2 linked regions of the Daphnia pulex genome follow. The protein of the gene in region 2 binds, or shares a complex with, the protein of the main gene of each other region. Links are inferred from orthologs where the notes say so. Each region holds a gene or a part of one and is shown on either strand. Other genes may lie near its edges.

Region 1 (4,300 bases), on a different chromosome or scaffold from region 2:
TGACATAGAACGAACGAACACAATCGAACACAGACATCTGTCACTTTCTCACAAGACGTGGCAAAAATAGCAGACGGCACGGCCTACACCTTTTTACGGGGTGCGTTCATAAGTCGTCGTACTTTGTTCACAAATGATTTCCAAAAAAAAAGGTCACCAAAATCGCCAAAGGCTATTAGCTATTAGCTCACCCTACAACAGAATGGAGATTTTTACATTTTTGTCCAAATTCTCCAAAGATCAATTCTCGACAACGAATTTGATTATTTCTCTATTTTCTAACAAGACAAACTTGAATTAATAAATTATAAAGAGCCGGGTTAACTGATCTCATATCATCAGTGCATATTTCAAAAGTAATATCTTCTTATGAGTTTTCATGTCATTTTCAATTTAACTTTATCTCCGTTGCGTCGGCAGCGGCATTAACTTAAAATTTAATCAATATCGAAATTTAGTTATTACATGACTATTTTGAGCGCCTTCTCTTTTGTGACCTATCATGATTGTGGATCTTATCATTTAGGTAAATGTCTGTCTTAGCATCTTGAACAACAGATTTTTCCCATTCATGACCTGTGAACGCATTGATAAAATTGTAAACGCTACTGTGAGATTATTAGTTTATTACATGTTTAAAAATCATTATTCGGAAGACACGTCAGCAGTTGTTAAGATATTTTGTTGTTTTTTGTGAACTTGAAAGTGATTTCAATGAGGGAAACATTTTAAAAGTGTGACTGTAGCTTACAGAAATAAGCGAGAAGTGAAGTAAAAAAACACGAAAATCCTGTAGAATTTAAATATGAATAATTCTTGTACTTACTCTAATCGGCAGACGTAAAGTCATTAATCGCTTAACTTGTAATTAAAAAGTTTGTGGTCTTATCTTTGATACAGTAAAAGCAAGGCACCTTGTGAAGGAAAAAGAATTTTAAAATTCAGCATATTTATCAATTTAGTAATTTACTAGGAGTAAGAATATTAAAAGGTAAACAAGAGCCGGAAAAAAAAACGAATCCAATTATGTTGATTCGTTACTTATTTTTCCCATACTAATTCGCTGCAGAGCTTTTCCTCGGGCTAGTCTCGTAAGCTTTCTTCAAACGCTTCCGAAGTTCAGCCGGAAATTTATCGAAACATTTTTTACAAGTCGGTTTCAAGTCGAATTCGTAGAACTTGGTTTTCTGCGACATTTTTGTGTCACAAACCGAACAAGCGAAATGGTGAACACACCAGGCTTTGTTCAATGCGGTAAACACTGAAAAGAAAAGCCAATCAAGGTGTTAATGTCTTAAAAGAAGAACATGTATAAAATGCTTTACCATCTCCTCCAATAACTTGATTGCAAACGAAGCAAAGATTGCCGAAAAGCTGATGATAATGGGTTTCGCAATAGGCAAGACCCTTCTTCTCATAATGGCGATTACCCAAGAACGGTTTCTCGCATTTGGCGCATACGAAATGCTACAAATCAATCCATTGTAATAGGTAAATTTAATCCCTGTGATGATTTCATTAAGTTTTATACCTCAACATGAAAATGCTTTCCTAACGCCGTAACGACACGCTCTTCAATTGGACGACGGCAAGCACCACAAATTGGAATACCCATTTTGTCGTGGCATCTCAAGCAATACAACTCGTTCTGTGTAAATTTTAAACAATTGTCACAAAGATATTAAATGTTAAAAAATAATGTGAAATACCATCTCATTAGCGGTGAAACCTGGTCTGCTTTTAACTTCACGTGCGTCCGCGTTGAGTTCGATTCCGCAAGACGAACAGTTGAAATGATAAGGATGATAGACTTCGCCACGGAAACGTAGCGGACGATCATCAATCATAGAGCTAAATAAAAATAATGATCCTTAGATTCCGATGAAATTTTCAACTATACACAGCACTTACTGGCACTTATGGCAGACATGTTTTCCCAAGCTGGCGGCTTTTGCTCGAGCGTTACAATCGTGGCAGAGTGCCTTATTCTGGTGACGAATGAACCCCTGGTCGGCTAGTTCTTTGTCACACATCTCGCAGAGGAAGCACTTGGGATGCCAATTGGCATTCATTGCTTTAATAACACGACCGATGATAAATTCACCTAAGAATACAAAAAATGCGTTATTATTTAAAAATCTATGAATTAGTCAATCGATTTAACGCTTACCACAGCGACCGCAACAAGGAGCAAAGAGCATCTGAAAATCATGCTCACAATACTTGCGACCCTCAAACTCGTAAAAAATTCCTTCTGGAAAGGAGCGAAAGCATTGAGCGCACCTGTGAAAGATTAAGAAATTAGAATTCAATTTCAAGTAAAAATGTTGGTGTGAGTACTTACACAAAGCACTGGGGATGCCACAGCTCTCCATTTGTATTGACAATCTTTTCATGAGGCTCAAAACCATAATCACACCTCACACATTGGGTGTTCTTGTACATATCGCTTTAAAGTTCAAACCATTATTAGTTTCTTGAAATTCAGAATGTGTGAAATCTACTATACTAACTGTTAAACCACAATACCTATCAATATTACTAGGTTTAAGGTTTCTAGAAGGAAGTTTAGGAGGGCTGTTAGCATAAGTATTTTTTAAAATGTAAGTTTGAACTGAATTCAAGCTAGGTATCTGAGGAAGTGGTTGATTTTGAATTCCCTTCGGAACATCATTAGATGTAAGGTCTTCAAGCAAACCCTCAAGTTCATTTACTTCACTTGCACTTGCACTTGGTTTCATCTTATCCTCCATTCTTCTAAGGTAAAGGTTACTATTTTCAAAGGGTTTAAGAACAAGAATGTTAGGTCTTTTTGCCATGGTGAAAAATGGAGTTTCTTCAGTGAACACAACCGAAATGTCCAGCAATTTATGGGGTGAAGAACGGCAATTGATAACTAAATGTGTTATCTCATGTGTGGCCACTTCAAGAGCTTATTAATATCAGTAATAGTATTTATCTTATCAATAGCTTACCCAGGCGGCATTTGAAATGAACACAACGATAAAATAAACTCAATAACTATAAGAACTTCAACAGATTGTAGAGACCTGTGGACGAAATCGGGTGCTAACACCAACACAAACCGCGCCCGTTCAGAGATCAGCCCAAATAAGGAGATAATTTTGTGAAAAAAGTGAAAGGGACTAAAATGCGGGAAAAAAGCTAAGAGAAACGCAAAAATACTATGTGCTAAAATTGATAAAATTCCTTGTAAAAAAATTAACATTTGGTTCTCGCATTTTTTAAAATTTACCTTAATTCGGATTGAGCCCCGACGAATTTCGAAATCGTTGTTTTAGACATTTCCCTTCTTTTTCTTTATCATTTTACCGCATCTTCTAAATCCACGATTTACTGCATCCGGTCCGTATTATAATGTTTTGATTGACTTGTAGAGCCATCTGGTGGTCATTCAACGAACTCGATTAATTAATTGTTGTCTTTTCGATATCAGTATATAAAAAGCACACCATTACCTTTGTAAAATTAATTTTCTCTGCATTTGTGACGTTTTTCAATTATCGGAACTTCAACCCATTTTATTGTGACATCTGACATTAAACGCCGCCCTCTGTACACGCCCCTTCAAAACACGCCGCCAGGTGATGTAAGAAGCATAATTTTGATAGTAAACATGGCTTCAGAAGTAGTAGATTGCGAAATTATTGTTTCGAATTCGGTTAACAATTTTGATGCAGCTACTAGCTCCAGTCATGGAATTCTTGACAGCAGTGATCCATATGAAAGTCTAAATAATTTAAGCGGTACCAGAACAAATAGTGATTCCAATGATGTGAGCTTAAACATACAACCTCCTGCAGACCCCGGTTGTACTGATGGTTTTCAGAACGGTGATGTCGGATTATTAGAAATTGCCGTTGAAGCTCAACCTGATTTGATTTTTGAATCAGATCTTGTCTCCAATAACCAAGACCAACAATTTGTACGGCCCAGGGTCTACTTAGAACGAGAGTCTTTCAGCAATCAAAATGAGGATTCCATATCACGTACAACCAATGTGAGATTTACTGAGTAATAATCTCCCCTCAAGATTTGTTAAAAAGCATTAATGAATCAGGCTTCATCAATCTTGGAAGAAAATTCCCTGCCAGCTGCTGCTGGTGATGAAGAGAGTGGATCAGACTCCTTGCTGTGGAAAAATCAAAAGAAACATTTCTTTGTCTTGAGTGAAGCAGGAAAACCCATCTACACAAGGTTGGGTTTGAATTAGCTATTTGTCATTTTTTATAATTAATTGTTTTCCTTTTTAAATTACAGACATGGAAATGAGGAGCAG
Region 2 (4,406 bases):
GGGCGCTTCAATGGGCCACCAAGCCGGTCGGTGGGTTTCGATTAGATTCGAGTCGATTTTCAATTGAGAAGAAGAGAGGGCTTGTTGTATCCGCAAGAGGCCGAGACCGTAAACTGATCCGTGAAGATATCCTCGTAGTTTTCCCACCCGTTGTCCGTTTTCATCAGAAATGGTCGATTCTAACTGGATGGAATCGGAAGGCTGTTGGAAGACAACCGGCATCAAACGTTTTCTGGTTACACCCGTGTGGTAAGTCCTGGCCGTAAGTTCCTGTCCCAAGTAGCACCCTTTATGGAAGCTGACGCCGTGCAGGTAGTCGCAATTACATTCGAGTGGGAAACATGTGCCGGGTGGCATATCTCGAGAGCCTTCTCCCACACCAAGTTTATATCTGAGTTCAGTGTATCGATCAGTGTTGTCCACGCAGAGATTCTTTATTAGGTGACTTAGACTTTTGTTGGAATCAACCAACACTCGCCATCCCAGTTCCTTGACTCTGGGATCTCGGGCTAAAATGACTTCATTACTGAGATCTTCGGGGGGCTGATCAAAGAGAACCCAAGGCTTCAGTGTTTCCTCTACAGAGATAACCACCTTCCTTCTGACTCTGAACATGGTGAGGTGTTTTGCTAGAGATTCCGAGCACTCTGCATCACATTCAATCAGGTAGCTGCCAGATTCTTTTGAAGAGTGGATGATGGCATCGTAAAGTATTCTTCCCTGCCGGTTGAGGAACATGCAGTACATGTTGGGATTGTTATCTTCGTCCAAGTGTTTGATATCGTTTGTCATAAGACCCTGAAGGTACGGACCGGCATCCACTCCAGAAACTTTGACGATTGCCCTTCCTTTGAGTTCCTGTGCGTTTACTGTGCATTTCTGGTGAACGCGTCGAACCGAACTAGCGGCCACCGATCTCAGAGCAACTGCTTGAATAGACCGCCACATGGACGAAACTTTTGGTAGAAGGGGAGTTAAAATTGTTATCGTACCTTGCAGAGAGAGATTGAGCTCGATTGTTGAGCAAGTCGTGGTCGATTCGATTTGTTTACAACTAAAATGTAGGAACTCCAGCGCCATCTGACGGTGCTTGAAAATGTTAGAAAATCTCCTAATCTAGTCGATCTAGTCCAAGGTTTTTTATTTTTGTTTATCAGGAGATCGAGATTGCTTTCATCAGTGCGATATTGAGATTATAATGGAATGGAATTCAAGGCAGTAAGTATGAATGTAAGCTCTCAACAAACTATTATATTATTTTGATTCACTTTTTTTTACGTTTCGTGATCGATTAAAAGTTTGAATCGATTGTTTAGATCTGGAAGTGGGATTTTAGGGTACCAAGGCGTTAGTTACACGACTCTCTCATACCGAGTCTGGATGAAACGTCGACTTGGTCTTACGGCCATCTGTTTATATTCCAACACTATTCACACACAAGGGTTGATTCGCCCCCTGAATAAGTGATCACCTCGACTGCGTCAAGATGTCAACTAGTGATTGAACAATTTTGGAACTGTTCATTCTGTCTGAAAAAGCCATCGAACTATTTGAGTGTGTGTGTGTGTGTTTGGTGTTGGAAAGGAGAAAAGAGTTGTGTGTGTGTGTGGGTTGCCCCGTTTGTGTTGCCCATGTTTGGTCACGGACGGGCATCGCCTCTCTCTTGGAAATTATTGTTTGGTGCTCTAAGCTACAGGTGCTCTGCTGCTGCCTTGTGAGAGAGAGAGAGAAGAAAAATTCAAGATGATTGCCGACGGACATTTGGTCGGTGACGGGAGCTGGGAATTGAAGGTGTTGGTGACTGACTTGTCGGTCGAGCGATGTCTCCGGGTCAAAGGTGACCTGCACATTGGTGGTGTTATGCTGCGTCTCGTCGAGGAATTAGGTATGCAATTATTTGTTGTCCTTGTTTGCCCATATTTGGGGATTCAACTGCGAGGCTGACATCATCACGCCCCAATTTCCCAGGCGTCTGTTTGCTTGCATTTAAAAGACATTATGGGGGGAGCCATCTTGTCCACATCTGAAATGAGTTCTTGGTCGCCCACTAGCAGCTACTAGTGCTCCCTCTGTCGGCCCAGTCTAGCGCAGACAGGAAAGAAAAAAGGCGGCATTTAAAAATAGCCTCCCCTCGCGTCACTCTCTCTTACAATGGATCTCTCTTGAAAAATAAAATAAAAACCCCTCTGAATATAAATATATTAAAAAATCAAATAAAATCCGACAAGTCCTAGAAAGGTTGCACTCCTCTCTCTTTGATTCCGCCGTTGGCAAAGGCTATAAGCGAAATAGGGCGGGCGATTGGAATGCACAGTCTGGTGATCGGTATTCTCATCACGTCAAGGATCACTTGAATGTTTATTTTTGAAAAAAAGTTAGTTTGTTGGAAACACCGTCAGCAGCTTGTGTTATGTGCACATATCGCGGTTCGGCGTAACATCCGGATGATTTTACCCAACCACAAACGTCTCTGATTTCAGAAACGAAATTATTCAGGACGACGCCCTTTTTTTGGCCACCATGACCCATTTCATTTCCGCCCCATATACACCACCACCACCACCCACCTGAATGTGTGTGTAATTTCACGCCCAACATCACGTGATCACAGTGATGGATGTTTTGGAATAATCAAAATTTATGACCCCCCACCAGTCTATTTTATATTCACATTTTGTTACATCTTATCTTCTTTTCGTATTTTTAGATATTGCGGCGGATTGGTCGGATCACGCTCTTTGGTGGCCAGCTCGGAACTGTTGGCTGTCCAGGACCCGTTCGACGCTGGATCAGTATGGCGTCCAGGCGGATGCTCTGCTGCATTTCACTCCCATGCACAAAACGCTGCGCGTCCAGCTGCCAGATTTGCGCTACTTGGATTGCCGGGTGGATTTCAGCGTCAAGACGTTCAACGCCGTCGTGACGCTGTGCAAGGAGCTCGGCATCCGGCATCCGGAGGAGCTGTCGTTCGCCAAGCCGCTCGAGTCTGACGATTTGCGCTACAATTATCGCGAACGCGAGTCCAACACGTCGCACAAGAAGCGGACGGTGGCCAACAATTCGGCCGACACCAACACGTTCATCGGTCACCACGGCAATTCGACTCACAGTTCCAACAACAGTTTGGACAACATTAAGGCCACCTCCGGATGTACGCCCGTCCTGCCCAACACGACCATCAATCGGTCCCCGGCTCCCGTACCCACGCCCATCAGCTCACCAGTTAATGTGAGTTGTTGTTGCCATGTATATTTTTTCACGTTTTTTGTCTTCATAATAATAATACTAATCATCATTATTTTCTCATCCATCAGTCGGGCACGTGGAGAAAGAATTCACCGTATTCGACTCCGGGCAGCAACGGCCACAATGCGACACCATCCATCTTTGACATGACTGCCAACAACAGCCTCAACACGACGGCCAACAGCAGTTTCTCCAATATGGATATGTCGCTGGCGCTCAGTCCGGCCACACCCAGCCAGGAGGCCCGATCCAGGCTTCTTCGACCCAAAAACTTGATCGAACGGGCTCGTCTTAATGTGGCGTGAGTTTCTCTTATCTATCCTAACCCACTTTTATAAAAAAATCAGACAATATTGATTTATTTCCCGCATTATTTTCATCAGTTGGCTGGACTCGTCCTTGTCCATCATGGAGCAAGGCGTGCGGGAATACAGCGCGCTCCTGTTGCGCTACAAATTCTACTCATTTTACGACCTGAATCCAAAGTACGACGCCGTGCGCATCAATCAGATTTACGAGCAGGCCAAATGGCAGTTGCTCAACGAGGAGATTGATTGCACTGAAGAGGAGATGCTCATGTTTGGAGCCCTTCAGCTCCAAGTGAATTTACAAAGTGCCCAGCCTCAGCCGCTGAGTGACACTCGTGACGGCGACGACGATATCGACGCCGCCCTGAGTGACCTCCAGGACACTCTGGAAGGCACCCACGTTCACAGCAACACTAGTGACATCACTTCCATACCGGAATTGTCGGATTTTCTTCGTTACATGAAGTAAATCGATTTTTTTATTCCCCCACATTCGTTTAATACTTATTTTATTTTATTTTTTTAAATTTGATTTAAAGGCCGAAACGTTTCACCTTAAAAGGCTTTAAACGTTATTGGTTCGTCTGCAAGGATTTACAATTGTTTGCCTTCAAGAATAAAGGAGAGTCGGGTTCCGGGCCAGCCCATCAGATCCCGTTACGAGGTTGCGAAGTCACTCCGGATGTCAATCTGTCGCAAGACAAATTTGGTATCCGGTTGGAAGTTCCCGGCCCGGATGGCATGTCCGAGATGTGGATCCGGTGCGATTCCGTAAGTTTCACTTTTGTCTTATTTGATCAAACACAACTGTTGGACACACATTCTTCTTGCTTTGTTGTAACAGGAAGCCCA

Evidence for each region.
Region 1: unc-112-related protein-like (region 2) and LIM and senescent cell antigen-like-containing domain protein 1 share a complex: the UniProt entries of both Caenorhabditis elegans proteins name them as parts of the integrin containing attachment complex. The link is inferred for Daphnia pulex from reciprocal best matches to the Caenorhabditis elegans genes unc-112 and unc-97.

The regions. Positions count from the first base shown.
Region 1 is NC_060026.1:14,674,594-14,678,893, forward strand, and holds LIM and senescent cell antigen-like-containing domain protein 1, read right to left. Parts: upstream 2,961-4,300; 5' UTR 2,820-2,960; coding exon 2,530-2,819; intron 2,450-2,529; coding exon 2,345-2,449; intron 2,284-2,344; coding exon 2,171-2,283; intron 2,105-2,170; coding exon 1,912-2,104; intron 1,852-1,911; coding exon 1,710-1,851; intron 1,649-1,709; coding exon 1,532-1,648; intron 1,468-1,531; coding exon 1,326-1,467; intron 1,262-1,325; coding exon 1,056-1,261; 3' UTR 610-1,055; downstream 1-609. Other genes in the region: protein SAND-like, read left to right, coding at 3,638-4,021, 4,082-4,218, 4,282-4,300. UniProt on the Caenorhabditis elegans protein: Component of an integrin containing attachment complex, which is required for muscle development and maintenance. Probably function in adherens junction.
Region 2 is NC_060028.1:2,205,834-2,210,239, reverse strand, and holds the start of unc-112-related protein-like, read left to right. Parts: upstream 1-1,319; 5' UTR 1,320-1,743; coding exon 1,744-1,885; intron 1,886-2,707; coding exon 2,708-3,228; intron 3,229-3,314; coding exon 3,315-3,547; intron 3,548-3,629; coding exon 3,630-4,019; intron 4,020-4,093; coding exon 4,094-4,325; intron 4,326-4,398; coding exon 4,399-4,406. Other genes in the region: putative transferase CAF17 homolog, mitochondrial, read right to left, coding at 1-1,080. UniProt on the Caenorhabditis elegans protein: Component of an integrin containing attachment complex, which is required for muscle development and maintenance. Probable regulator of cell-extracellular matrix adhesion. Required during initial muscle assembly to form dense bodies and M-lines.